Anolis sagrei: one gene and its partner. The protein of the gene in region 1 binds, or shares a complex with, the protein of each later gene. Links are inferred from orthologs where the notes say so. Each region holds a gene or a part of one and is shown on either strand. Other genes may lie near its edges.

Region 1 (7,603 bases):
TTCTGTCCCTGTGATAATTGGATTTTGAAAAATTTGGCTTGTTGTGGATGAAAGGATTGGTGACAAAGTTTCAGTGAAGACATCTTTTCCCCATGATAACTCTTTCAGGAGTAAATTTCCCTTTAGAGGGATAGATGCCTCTCATTTCCTGTTGTCATTTGTAAGTCAGAGGTTTGTAACTTGAGGACTGCCTATAAGCGGAATGGCAACCCAACAGAATTTGTGGCTCTGAGGTTGGGGAAAAGGTTTGTTTATTTTGTGTCAAAAGTATTGCATAAACAAACAAGTATAAAACTGATAAAATAGAGGAGTGGCTCGCAACCTGCGGGTCCCCAGGTGTTTTGGCTTACAACTCCAACCAATTTACCAGCTGTTAGGATTTCTGGGAGTTGAAAGCCAAAACATCTGAGACCCACAGATTGAGAATCACCAAAACAGAGGGAACACAAGCAGCTAAGTAATTTTAGACCAAAAATAGGCAACAGCAACTGCATTGTCTATAGCTTTAAACCAGCAGTTCCCAATCTGTGGTCTATGGACCATCAGTGAATGAGAATATGGTCCGCGGCTTCACATTACTACGCAGTTGCCTCAGAACCACGCAGCGAGAGTGACTGGTCTCACGAAATCCTCTTATGGTGCCAAGGCAACGGGGATGTCTGGAGGGGAGAGGCTGATTACCCACAAAAGATTACTACGACCACATCAGCTGTAGATTATTAAATATGGTTTTCTGTGAGCGAGCAGATGGCAACTACTGGATGGTATTTGTTTGGTATAAGAAACTAGATACAATGCGGTCTATCCAATGCAATTTTCTGAATCAGCACCCCAAATAACCAAACTGAATCTAAAGTTGACCAAAAACTGATCATAACCCTTTTGGTATTGATGTTGGAAAGTGGTCCCTGGTCTAAGTGGGCCCTGGTGAAAAAAAGGTTGGGAACTACGGTTTTAAACAGTTCTTCCTCTGTGCATGAGGCAGGGCATTGTGGGCAAGCATAGAGATGCTGAGTTGTTTGTTCTGCTCCACAGTAGCACAAGGTGGACGATTCTTCTAGATCAGTGGTTCTCAACCTGTGGGTCGCCAGATGTTTTGGCTTTCAACTCCCAGAAATCCAAACAGCTGGTAAACTGGCTGGGATTTCTGGGAGTTGTAGGCCAAAACATCTGGGGACCCACAAGTTGAAAACCACTGTTCTAATTCATGCCATTTTGCCAGGTTGTCTTCTGATCTCCCAACACCACTTCTGAATCTGTTCAGGGACTTCCAAGTTGCCCCATTCTTGGTTTGTCCCTGGAGGAAGACCCTCATGGGGGCCATCCAGTTGGGATTTCCTGGTTTAGTTGCCCAGAGGGATTCTCCTGCTGTTGCTGCGGGGATGCCAAGAGGAGTGGTGGTTCTCAAGAAACTTTCCTTTGATTTGAGTCTACTGGGAGGAGGCTAATAGCCATGCAAGTGGGTAGCTTTCACAGTATTCAATCTTATTTCTCCCACGGTTGGGGGGGGGGGGATGTAATTGTTGTTTATTCATTCAGTCGCTTCCAACTCTTCATGACCTCATGGACCAGCCCAAGCCAGAGCTCCCTGTTGGCCGTCTCCATCCCCAGCTCCTCCAGAGTCAAGCCAGTCACTTCAAGGATACCATCCATCCATCTTGGGGGTGGGTGGGTGTAATGCGACCTAGCTTATAGAGCAGGCATGGGCAAACTTCGGCTGTTAGGAATTTGTGGGAGTTGAAGTCCAAAACACCTGGAGGGCCGAAGTTTGCCCTTGCCTGATTTAAATTAAATCCCCATTATTCCAACTATGGTGGCGCAGTGGGTTAAACCACTGAGCTGCTGAACTTGCTGACTGAAAGCTTGGTGTTTCAAATCCAGAGAGTGGGTGAGCTCCTGCTGTCAGGCCCAGCATCTGCCAACTTAGCAGTTTGAAAACATGCGAAGGTGAGTACATCAGTAAGTACCGCTTCTGTGGCGCAGGATTGTGGTGCAGCTGGCTGAGTGTCAGCTGCATTAAGATCACTCTGACCAAAAGATCATGAGTTCGAAGCCAGTCCGGGTTGGAGTGGGTTTCCAACCATTGTGTAGCCTGTTGTTGACCTTTGCAACCCGAAAAGTTGCAAAGGTCAACAACAGGCTACACAATGGTTGGAAACCCACTCCAACCCGGACTACAACCAGGCTACACAGTTGCATCTGTCAAGTAGGAAAATTAGGTACCACCTTAAAGTGTGGGGAAGCTAATATTAACTGATTTATGAGGCCATAAAAAGAAGACTCCAGCAAAGCATTCCTGCGGTGAAGCATGCGGGGAATGTGGAAGTGCTTCATCAGCGTCGCAGATGGACGATGAAAGCGACAGCTCCCCTGGCGGCGAGAAAAAGTTAAATAGCCTCTGTGTATGATTGTATGTAAAAAAATTGGCATTGAATGTTTGCCATATATGTGTACACTGTAATCTGCCCTGAGTCCCCTGCGGGGTGAGAAGGGCGGAATATAAAAGCTGTAAATAAATAAATAAGGTAACGGTGCTCCATGCAGTTATGCTGGTCACATGACTTTGGAGGTGTCTACAGACAATGCCGGCTCTTCAGCTTCGAAATGGAGATGAGCACCACTCCAGAGATTTGGACTTGACTAGACTTAATGTCAAAGGGAAACCTTTCCCTTTGCCTATCCTAAGTAAACTTCAGAGGCCCCTCCCCCTTCTGGCACCAACGACTGCTCTGGCCAGAGAGAAGACAGAGGGGAGCAGAAGACACTGCCATCTTGTCTTCTGCCTATATCATCACTTCAGAGGCCCCTCCCCCTTCTGGCACCAATGACTGCTCTGGCCAGAGAGAAGACAGAGGGGAGCAGAAGACACTGCCATCTTGTCTTTACTAATAATATAATATAGTATATTGTATATATATATAATATTTATAATATTATAATGTAATACAATATAATACTAGTAATAATAATTCAATATTATAATTATAATTATATATTTAATTACATGTAATATTACTAATAATATTACAATATAATGGTATAGTGCAATATAGTAATATATACTGATATTGTACTTTGCTAATAATATAATATATTGTATGAAAATATATATTGTAAGCCGCTCTGAGTCCCCTTCGGGGTGAGAAGGGCGGCATATAAGCGCCGTAAATAAATAAATAAATAAACAAACAGAACAAACTGGATGTGACTGTACTACAACGGTCATCAGTTCTAGTCCTGATGAGGAACATGGGAGTTGCAGTTCTGCCCAAGCATAAAAATGACAGGGCAGGGGAAAAGGATTCAACCTCACTACCTCTGAGGATGCTTGCCATAGATGCAGGCGAAACATCAGGAGAGAATGCCTCCAGAACATGGCCATATAGCCCGAAAAAACCTACAACAATCCAGTGATTCGACCTTGAGTTTGACACATAAGTCAAATAGTTGAACAGAGGAAGAAACTAAACAACCGAAGTAGGAAAATCGGTGCCAGGAGGAGACTTCGGGGCCAGGCAAAAGAGAAGTGGTGAAATGAACAGAGCAAAAGCCAGAAGAGGAATGTAAAAATCTGAATTCAGGGCAGGAGCTGGGAAGGAGACCTGGAGGGGTTGCAAGGAGGTTTCAGAGGGGTCTCCAAAGACCATCAGAAAATATATATTTCTGATGGTTTTAGGAACCCCTTTGGCAAAGAAGACTGAAGATATGTCAACCTGTCCTTCTCTTCCTTTTTGGAAACAGATGGTGAATCTTCCCACCAAAAGCACTCCTCTGCTCTGAACAAAAAAATTCCCTCAGGCACTAGCAAGCCACACCAAAAAACTGCCAGGCCATCAAATGCTAATCAAGGTGGTCAGTTGTAACATTCACACCTAGCTCCAGCAGACAAGGGTTCTTTGTCCCACTCTGGTCATTCCACAGATATATAAACCCATTTTCCTAGTTTCAAGAGACCTCACTACCTCTGAGGATGCTTGCCATAGATACAGGCGAAACGTCAGGAGAGAATGCCTCGAGAACATGGCCATATAACCCGAAAAAATCTACAGCAACCCAGTGATTCAATATTGAGTTTGACACATAAGTCAAGTAGTTGAACAGAGGAAGAAACTAAACAGCCAAAGTAGGAAAATCGGTGCCAGGAGGAGACTTGGGGGCCAGGCAAAAGAGCAGTGGTGAAATGAACAGAGCAAAAGCCAGAAGAGGAATGTAAAAATCTGAATTCAGGGAAGGAGCTGGGAAGGAGGCCTGGAGGGGTTGCAAGGAGGTTTCAGAGGGGTCTCCAAAGACCATCAGAAAATATATATTTCTGATGGTTTTAGGAACCCCTTTGGCAAAGAAGGCTGAAGATATGTCAACCTGTCATTCTCTTCCTTTTTGGAAACTTCGGGGCCAGGCAAAAGAGCAGTGGCGAAAAGAACAGAGCAAAAGGAGGCCTGGCGTGGCAAGCGGGGGCAAGGTATTGCTTCTAGTCCTCTGCAGAGCCGGCCTTGAGAGGCCCGCGGAGGCCTGCCTTCCTTTCTTTACTCTCTCTCTCTGTCCCTCCCTCTCTTCCTTCGGGCTGCCGGGGCTCGCCCTGGTTCCCTCCCCGGCAGAGGCGAAGGCGGGGGCAGCAGCAGCGGTGGCGTTGGTGTCCGGCCCAAACCCCTCCCTCCCTGTCTCTCTGCCCGCCTCTCCCTCTCTCTCGGGCGCCTGCCTTCGCGGGAGACTCTCCCGGGGACGCCCGGAAGCACCGCTTGGGCCTAGAAGGCCTCTCTCCGCCTCAGCCTCCCCTCCATGGTCGACCCCAAGCGGGGAGGCCTCAGGAAACATGGCGGGTAGGTTGCGCGCGCCTCCCTCTCCCCTTCCCTCCCTCCTTCCTTCCTCAAAAGAAGCACCAGGAAAAGAGGGAAGTCTACTCTTCACAGGAGACCGGCCTGAGGAAGGGGTGCCTCCTTCCTTCCTTCTCTTCCTGCTTCCCTTCCTTCCTTCTCTCCGCGCCTGCGTCGGGGACACGGTTGCGGGGGGACACACACATACATGTAGTGTACAAAGGAGGGAGGGAAGGAAGGGCTTGTGGGACGCCTTGGCCCACGGTAGGCCTCGCCCTTCGATTCCCCCTCAGCGCGAGGAAAAGGTGAGGCCTTCACGCCCCTCGGAGACAAAGAGGGCGAGGCCGGGAAAGGAAGCCCCTTCCCTCCCTCAGCTGCAGCTTATATTCCTGCCGTATTGTTTTGATGTAACACCCTTCCTCTTTCCCTCTCCCCCAAATCCAGATCTGTCGCTGCTTCAGGAGGACCTGCAGGAGGAGATAGACGGATGTGAGTACCGGCTTCTATCGACCACCTCCCTTTCCTCTCCTTTCCTCATTCCCAAGGCGGGGAGAAATAGAGAGAGACACACAGAGAGAGAGGTCTTGACATTGCCCAGGAGGATGGAGGCCCGGGTTGCATTGTGGGAGGAAGCAGCCATGCTTTTAAGCAGCGCCTTCACTCCAACACAGGCCTGGCTTGGTTTATAAAGTTCTCCCCCGCGCCTCTTTGTATGTTTCTTTCCTTCCCGCACCTCCCATTCGTTTGCTTTTTGATTCCCCTGAAGGCTGCTGAGAGGAAATGGGGAAAGCCATGAGTTTGATGGGTCGGTTGTGCTGTCAGCAAGGGCTGCTGCTAGTCTTAAGGAGGGGGTTTAGGTCAAGTTTTGTGCAAAATGCTTGTGTACAATAGAAGGTAATAGTATGATAGCTGGGTCCGGAAGCTAGGAGCGTGACAGTGTTTCCACTTCACTCCTTCAGAAGCGCTGTTTGCACAACGCGATATTATAGAAGGAATGTAAGAGTTCTTTAATGGTAAAACCCAAACCCTTACCCAAACCCTAAATCTTACCCTAATCCTAACCCTAACACAAACACTAACCTCAAAGCTTACCCTACCTTATCCTAAACCATACCCTAAGCCTAACCCCTAACCCTTACTCTAACACAAACCCTAACCCTTAAAGCTTACCCTACCTTATCCTAAAGCTTACCCTAAGCCTAACCTCTAACCCTTACTCTAACACAAACCCTAAACCTAAAGCTTATCCTAAAGCTTACTCTACCATATCCTAAAGCTTACCCTAAGCCTAACCCCAAATCCTAACCCTAACACAAACCCTAACCCTAAAGCTTACCCTACCTTATCCTAAACCTTACCGTAAGCCTAACCACAAACCCTAACCCTAAAGCTTACACTAAATCTTACCCTACCTTATCCTAAACCTTATCCTAAGCCTAACCCCTAATCCTAACTCTAATGAAAACCCTTACCCTACCTTATCCTAAGCCTAACCCCTAATCCTAACCCTAAAGCTTACCCTACCTTATCCTAAACTTGATCCAAACCCTAAACCTTTCCCTAAACATTTCCCTAAAACTTATCCTAACCCTCCCCTCCTTTCTGTCCTTCTACCCTCACGTGGTCCCTTTCCTTATTCACAACAGTCGTTGCAGAATGTGTGTAATGCTCGGAGCTTCTGGACCCAGCTATCATACTGTCACCTAGTAGAGTCTTGTATATCCAACTAGGAAAAGTATGATAGCCGGGACCAATGCTAGTTTTGTGATGTGGGTCAGAATTAGAGAAGTGAAGACGTTACGTATTTGAATGTGTTTGCATACGATATCCGGATAGCCTTAAGCACTATGCTTGGCTGTTTGTTGCCCCCCCCTTCTGTCCCCCCCTTTTTCTGGCAAACTATCTTGCCATGACTCTGTCGCACCTGCGTCTCTCACTCGCTGCCCTATCTCGGGATTGGGTCACAGCTATCATACTTTTGCCACCTTCGCTCATCCAGCGTTCTGTATTATCCAATGCAATCTGCCTTGCGCCCGGATCCACAGCTGTTTCAATACATTGCAATGTTTTGGTGCTAAATTTGTAAATCCAGTAATTACTACATAACAATACCATGTATTGAACTGCTTTTGCTTTCAATTTTTCCATGTATTGAACTGCTTTTTCTTTCGATTTGTTGTAAAACATGATGTTTTGGTGCTTAATTTGTAAAACCATAAATGATTTTTAAAAGGTTTTTCCTTAATCCCTCCTTATTATGCAACATTTTTGCTTATCCAACATTCTGCCGGCCCGATTATGTTGGATAAGCAAGACTCTACTGTAATAGGGATGGTGTTGTCCTGTGCAGGCGGCCTCTGGGTTACAAACAAGACTGGTAACTTCACTCAGGCACAGGCCTGGCTTGATTTATAAAGTTCTTCCTCTCACTGTTTTGTATGCCCCCCGCCTCTTTTCATTTTCTTTTTATTTCCCTGAGTGGAAATGGGAAAGGCCATGAGTTTGATGGGTCGGTTGTGCTGCCAGTGAGGGCTGCTACTAGTCTTAAGGAGTGAGATTTAGGTCAAGTTTTGTGCAAGATGCTTGTGGCAACAGTCATGTAATAGGGACGGTATTGTCCTGTGCAGGCAGCCTCTGGGTTACAAACAAGACTGGTAACTCGGTTGTTTTTTAAAATGTAGTTTTGGATAGCATAAGGAAAGGTTATTATTATTATTATTATATTTGTTTTTGAAGGCTTTGGCCGGAATCACTGCATTGCTTTGAGTTTTCCGGGCTTCATGGCCATGCTT
Region 2 (6,920 bases), on another chromosome or scaffold:
GGAAAAACTAAAGAGTTTGCATGATTATACTATCATAGAATCATTGAGTTGGAAGAGACCTCATGAGACATCCAGTCCAACCCCCTGCCAAGAAGCAGGAAAATTACATTCAAAACACCCCCGGCAGATGGTCATCCAGCTTCTGTTTAAAAGCCTCCAAAGAAGGAGCCTCCACCAGCAGCCCAGCCCCAAAGTACCACTGAACATCCCATGAGCATTTTTACTTACTGTTACTGGGGAATCTACTCTCTGGACATTGCTTTCTTCCACCAAAATCTCTCTGTTGGGGAGAAAAGATACATTATACTTAACTAATTATACATTTCCCAGCTCCAGAACAGAGATGTCCTGGAGGCCAGAGAGGCCATAAATAATAAATAAGAGTTTTTTAAAAATGTCGCCAACTACTCACCTGGCTTTGGCACAGAGGGCTTTGACTTCACTCTCTTTAATGAGTTCACAGCGCCGTAGTTGTTCAATCTGACGGTCAAGGTCACTGATTTCGGCCATCTTTCCCCCTGTAGGAGAAGAATGGATGCAATTCCTTTTTAAAAACATTCCTCGGCCACATTTTATAAAAAGTTTCCATATCAGTATACTAAAGGCCTTGACAATGAATAAAACGAGGACATACAGTAGAGTCTTGCTTATCCAACATAAACGGGCTGACAGAACGTTGGATACGCAAAAATGTTGGATAATAAGGAGGGATTAAGGAAAAGCCTATTATTTACAAATGAAGCACCAAAACATCATGCTTTACAACAAATCAACAGAAAAAGCAGTTCAATACACAGTAAAGTTTTGTAGTAATTCCTGTATTTATGAATTTAGCACCAAAACATCACAATGTATTGAAACATCTGTGGATCCGGGTGGGAGGCCGATTGTGTTGGATAATACAGAACATTGGATTAGCAAAGGTTGGATAAGCGAGACTCAACTGTACATCTATGATGCGCATAAGATAAAACTAAAGACATCTCCAAATAATCCCCTGGAGGATAAACCCTAAATGATAAGAACCCCAGGCATAGGTCCTGTTTCCAGTATTATCTAATTGTTGTAAAGCAGGCATGGGCCAACTTGGGCCCTCCAGATGTTTTGGACTTCAACTCCCACAATTCCTAACAGTCTACTTGCTGGGTTGTTGTAGATTTTTTCAGGCTATATGGCCATGTTCTAGAGGAGTGGTTCTCAACCTTTGGGTCCCCAGGTGTTTCAGCCTCCAACTCCCAGAAATCCCAGCCAGTTTACCAGCTGTTAGGATTTCTGGGAGGTGAAGGCCAAAACATCTGGGGACCCACAGGTTGAGAACCACTGTTCTAGAGGCATTCTCTCCTGGCGTTTCGCCTGCATCTATGGCAAGCATCCTCGGAGGTAGTGAGGTCTGCTGGAACTAGGAAAATTGGGTTTATATATCTACTTGCAGTGAGGAATTGTGGGAGTTGAAGTCCAAAACACCTGGAGGGCCAAACCTGGCTCATTCCTGCTGTAAAGAAATGGAAGAAATATTAAAACAGGCAAACAATCAATCAATCAGTTCTTGTGGGTTTTTTCGGGCTATATGGCCATGTTCTAGAGGCATTTCTCCTGACGTTTTGCCTGGTGAGGTCATCTCTGAGGATGCTTGCCATAGATGCAGGCGAAACGTCAGGAGAAATGCCTCTAGGACATGGCCATATAGCCCGAAAAAACCCACAAGAACTGAGTGATTCCAGCCATGAAAGCCTTCGACAAATCAATCAATCCTTTTATATGAATATTGGGCCTTCCATATTCTATCAGACTGTGACCTCCCCTTCACCCCTGACTAATCGTATGCCTTTTATAGTATTCATGGTCTTATGTCTTTATCTATAAATTTTAACAGTGCCCTGCTTTGAAGAGAGATAAGTAACGAGATAAGTAAAAGAGGTAAGTAAGAGAGATAAGTAAAACGTATATCATTGTTGTTATGAGGTAAGAGTAATGTGAGCTGCAATCCATGAGCATCTGAAGGCTCTCACATTCCCCATTCCATCCAAGAATCCATGAACCAATAACACAGTGGTTCTCAACCTGTGGGTCCCCAGGTGTTTTGGCCTACAACTCCCAGAATTCCCAGCTGTTAGGATTTCTGGGAGTTGGCAACCAATAACACAGTGGTTCTCAACCTGTGGGTCTCCAGGTGTTTTGGCCTACAACTCCCAGAATTCCCAGCTATTAGGATTTCTGGGAGTTGAAGGCCAAAACATCCGGGGACCCACAGGTTGAGAACCACACAGATGGACTTCTACCAGAATGAAGAAGGAAACAGAGGAAAGACAGTCCAACCCAATCCTAATTCTCCTCCTCAATAGTCTAACCCAAGCATGGGCCAACTTGGGCCCTCCAGGTGTTTTGGACTCCAACTCCCACCATTCCTAACAGCCTCAGGCCCCTTCCTTTTCCCCCAGGAAGGGGCCTGAGGCTGTTAGGAATGGCGGGAGTTGGAGTCCAAAACACCTGGAGGGCCCAAGTTGGCCCTAAAGAAAACAAACTAAGCATTCTATGCTGCCTGGGAAGATGGTGGAGTGTCCTTTTCTGGAGGTTTTTAACCTGAGGCGGGCTGGCCATCTGTCGGGGGTGCTTTGATGATGTGCCCCTGCATGGCAGATGGGGGGCTTCTTCCAGGTCTTCGAGACAGTACCCGAGGGGAGGCCTTTCCCCTCCTCCTCCCAAGGCCCCTGACCCCTCCTCCTTCGAACCCCGGTCTCTATGGCAACCCGCCTCCCCCGCCCCTCAACACCAAGGGGGAAGCGAGGCGCATGCGCAGAAGGAGCCTCGCCACTCACTTGGGGTCCCGGCAGAGGCGGTGATGGCTGCTCCGCGGCTCCCTCCGGCTCCGGGCCCGGCCCTTCCCCCTCTCCTCTCCCTTTCTCTCTCTCTCTGCCTCTGTCTTTCCGGCTCTCACTAACTACAGAACACAGGGCGTCACTTCCGCTTCCTCCTTCGACTGAGGCCCAGCTGTGGATGGAGGCCGACTGACTTTCCCCTGATTCCCCCGGAAGTGACATCATTTTCTCAGTTCTCTTCTTAATTCAAGGCAGGGGTGGGGATTTAAAAGGAGCGGAGGAGGCTCCGGAAGTGACGCAAGGGCGGCCTCTCCATGTGTCGCTCAAAATGTCTCCCGGGCCTACTTCCGGTTTAGCTTTTTTTCTCTCTCTTTCTCGACGCTTCCTTGTCATTCCAGCTCTTCCCTCCATGATGTTTCATGTACAGGATTATAGGCGCCCATATGAATGCCAGAGGGATTTTTTTAGGTGTCATTGACACCACTCCTCCAGGTCTTTTGGACTACAACTCCCACAATTCCTAACAGCCTCAGGCCTTTTCCTTTTATAGCGGGTATGGTCAAACTTGGGCCCTCGAGGTGTTTTGGACTCCAACTCCCACCATTCCTAAAAGCCTCAGGCCCCTTCCTTTTCTTATGGTCCACAACAATTGCAATTATGAAAAGCAAAAACTCCTCACACAGGCCTAATATAGGCATGGGCCAACTTGGACCCTCGAGGTGTTTTGGACTCCAACTCCCACCATTCCTAAAAGCCTCAGGCCCCTTCCATTTCTTATGGGCCACAACAATTGCAATTATGAAAAGCAAATACTCCTCACACAGGCCTACAATAGGCATGGGACAACTTGGGCCCTCGAGGTGTTTTGGACTCCAACTCCCACCATTCCCTACAGCCTCAGGCCCCTTCCTTTTCTTATGGGCCACAACAATTGCAATTATGAAAAGCAAAAAATCCTCACACAGGCCTAATATAGGCATGGGCCAACTTGGACCCTCGAGGTGTTTTGGACTCCAACTCCCACCATTCCTAAAAGCCTCAGGCCCCTTCCTTTTCTTATGGGCCACAACAATTGCAATTATGAAAAGCAAATACTCCTCACACAGGCCTACAATAGGCATGGGACAACTTGGGCCCTCGAGGTGTTTTGGACTCCAACTCCCACCATTCCCTACAGCCTCAGGCCCCTTCCTTTTCTTATGGGCCACAACAATTGCAATTATGAAAAGCAAAAACTCCTCACACAGGCCTACAATAGGCATGGGCTAACTTGGACCCTCGAGGTGTTTTGGACTCCAGCTCCCACCATTCCTAAAAGCCTCAGGCCCCTTCCTTTTCTTATGGGCCACAACAATTGCAATTATGAAAAGCAAAAACTCCTCACACAGGTCTACAGTAGGTCTACCTCAGCAAGCGAGAGTCCAAAAGTGGCAGGCTCAAACCCAGCACCTCAATCCATGGGTGATACCAGATGAGAGACTCCCTCCTGGGCACACAGAAGACTGGGCGACTTGGAAGGCATTGAACAGACTGCGCTCTGGAACCACGAGATGCAGAGCCAATCTTAAGAAATGGGGCTACAAAGCTGAATCCACGACATTCAAGTGCGGAGAAGAGCAAACCACAGACCACCTGCTTCAGTGCAGCCTGAGCCCTTCCACATGCACAATGGAGGACTTTCTTGCAGCAACACCAGAGGCACTCCAAGTGGCCAGATACTGGTCAAAGGACATTTAATCAACTACCAAGTTTGCAAAATGTGTGCTTTTTAAATCTGTTTGTTTGTTTTTTTCTGTTAGAAATGTAATACAATGGTATGGTTGCTGATGACATGATAAATAAATAAATAAGTAGGCATGGGCCAACTTGGGTCCTCGGGGTGTTTTGGACTCCAACTCCCACCATTCCTAAAAGCCTCAGGCCCCTTCCTTTTCTTATGGGCCACAACAATTGCAATTATGAAAAGCAAAAAATCCTCACACAGGCCTACAATAGGCATGGGCCAACTTGGACCCTCGAGGTGTTTTGGACTCCAACTCCCACCATTCCTAAAAGCCTCAGGCCCCTTCCTTTTCTTATGGGCCACAACAATTGCAATTATGAAAAGCAAAATCTCCTCACACAGGCCTACAATAGGCATGGGCCAACTTGGGCCCTTCAGGTGTTTTGGACTCCAACTCCCACCATTCCTAAAAGCCTCAGGCCCTTTCCTTTTTCCCCTCAGCCACTTAAGCTGGCCCACGCCTGGGCTACATACATTAAAGTTGCCAGGTTACAGGGCAGGAAAGTGGAGACCAAATCGTACCATCTCGAAGGACCCTTCCACACAGCCCTATATCCCAGAAGATCAAGGCAGAAAATCCCACATCTGTTTTGAACTGGAATATATGGCAGTGTGGACTCAGATAACCCGGTTCAAAGCAGATATTGTGGATTTTCTGCCTTGATATGCTGGGATATAGGGCTGTGTAGAAGGGCCCTAAGGCAAAAATATAGTATCTGCTTATGTTCTTCCTGAGATTTCAGGGGAAAAAGTCAAAACTTGGCTCTTTGGGCAAGCTTTCGCGAATGCAGCGAAACAGGCAAATATGGAACGACTGGACGATGGCATTCTCGGTGGTGGCCTCTGGCCCCCCATCTCTGGAACTCCCTCCCCAGGGAGATTAGGCTGGCACCCTCCCTAGCCACATTCTGTAAGGAATGAAAGATGTGTATGTTTTGTCGTGCTTTCGATTGACGACACCTATGATAAATGACCTGTATCATGACTTGAATTGTCATTCAATTTGATGTCCTATAGTATATTAACTGATCCTGTTAATTTACTCTGTTTCCATGATGTTTCCTATGTCGTTATCCACCTTACTAAACCACTTATGCTTTAACTAGTTCACGTAGTGGTTTTCCTCCCCCTCTCCAAAATTAGTCTGCTGTTATTGTTGTTGCTAGCTATTATTATGTTGTTTTACACTGTTTATGCTCTCGTAATTGTTTTTTGCTTTGTTTTTAATTGTATTCTGCTTTGGGCTTGGACCCCATGTAAGCCGCCCCGAGTCCCTTCAGGGAGATGGAGGCGGGTTAGAAAAATAAAGTTCTTCTTCTCCTTCTTCTTCTTTGTCTTCTTCTTTTTCTTCTTAAAATAGGATTCCATAGCATTGAGCCTTGGCAGTTAAAGTGTTAACAAGCTGAGTGAATGCCACAGTGTAGATGCATTCTTACTCAAGGAATACAGGCAGCCCCTAAGTTACAAACAAGATAGGTTGTATAGGTTAGTTCTTAAGTTTTGGGGTTTTTTTGTGTGTGTCAGGAGCGACTTGAGAAACTGCAAGTTGTTTCAGGTGTGAGAGAATTGGCCGTCTGCAAGAACGTTGCTCAGGGGACGCCCGGATGTTTTGATGTTTTACCATCCTTGTGAGAGGCTTCTCTCATGTCCCTGCATAGGGAGCTGAAGCTGACAGAGGGAACTCATCCTCACTCTCCTCAGATTCGGACCTCCGATCTGTCAGTCTTCAGTGCTGGCAGCACAAGGGTTTAACTCATTGCGCCACCAGGGGCTCCAGTTCTTAAGTTGAATTGGTATGTAAGTCGAAACAGGTTTATTTATTTATTTATTGTGTCAGGGGCAATCATAATTGTATTACATTTCTAACAGAACAAAACAAACAAACAAACAGGCACAAAACAAAATTTGCAAGCTTGGTAGTTGATTAAGTGTCCTTTGACCAGTATCTGGCCACTTGGAGTGCCTCTGGTCCAGAATTCGAAACAGGTACTGTAGGGGGAATGGCTCTCTGGAATTCCTCCTGCTCTCTGCACATTGTCAGGAGTCCCCTGGGCTCAAGAGGATGATGTAATGGAAGACATACCACAAATTGAATACCAACCGTGGAAGCTGTTTATTGAGGGCCTAGCAATAGCGACAGAATGCATGGCCCATAAAAGGTCTGTCACACACCCCCAAATAGGGTTGTAAGGCATTATCACTTTGACAGAGAATTAAATACACATTATCATCAATTAACGATGTCTCTCTCAGTCCATTTTTAGGTATAACTCCAGTCTTGAAAAATTTGGTTTCATCTGGAAACAGTAATTGGGGATGAA

What was found. The genes of interacting proteins can lie anywhere in the genome.
Region 2: PPP4R1 (region 1) and PPP4C share a complex: the UniProt entries of both Homo sapiens proteins name them as parts of the PP4 complex. The link is inferred for Anolis sagrei from reciprocal best matches to the Homo sapiens genes PPP4R1 and PPP4C.

Annotation. Positions count from the first base shown.
Region 1 is NC_090024.1:64,871,002-64,878,604, reverse strand, and holds the start of PPP4R1 (serine/threonine-protein phosphatase 4 regulatory subunit 1), read left to right. Parts: upstream 1-4,582; 5' UTR 4,583-4,810; coding exon 4,811-4,817; intron 4,818-4,918; exon of another isoform or gene 4,919-5,116; intron 5,117-5,255; coding exon 5,256-5,300; intron 5,301-7,603. UniProt on the Homo sapiens protein: Regulatory subunit of serine/threonine-protein phosphatase 4. May play a role in regulation of cell division in renal glomeruli. The PPP4C-PPP4R1 PP4 complex may play a role in dephosphorylation and regulation of HDAC3.
Region 2 is NC_090026.1:17,473,456-17,480,375, reverse strand, and holds the start of PPP4C (serine/threonine-protein phosphatase 4 catalytic subunit), read right to left. Parts: upstream 3,025-6,920; 5' UTR 2,817-3,024; intron 519-2,816; 5' UTR 511-518; coding exon 413-510; intron 281-412; coding exon 229-280; intron 1-228. UniProt on the Homo sapiens protein: Protein phosphatase that is involved in many processes such as microtubule organization at centrosomes, maturation of spliceosomal snRNPs, apoptosis, DNA repair, tumor necrosis factor (TNF)-alpha signaling, activation of c-Jun N-terminal kinase MAPK8, regulation of histone acetylation, DNA damage checkpoint signaling, NF-kappa-B activation and cell migration.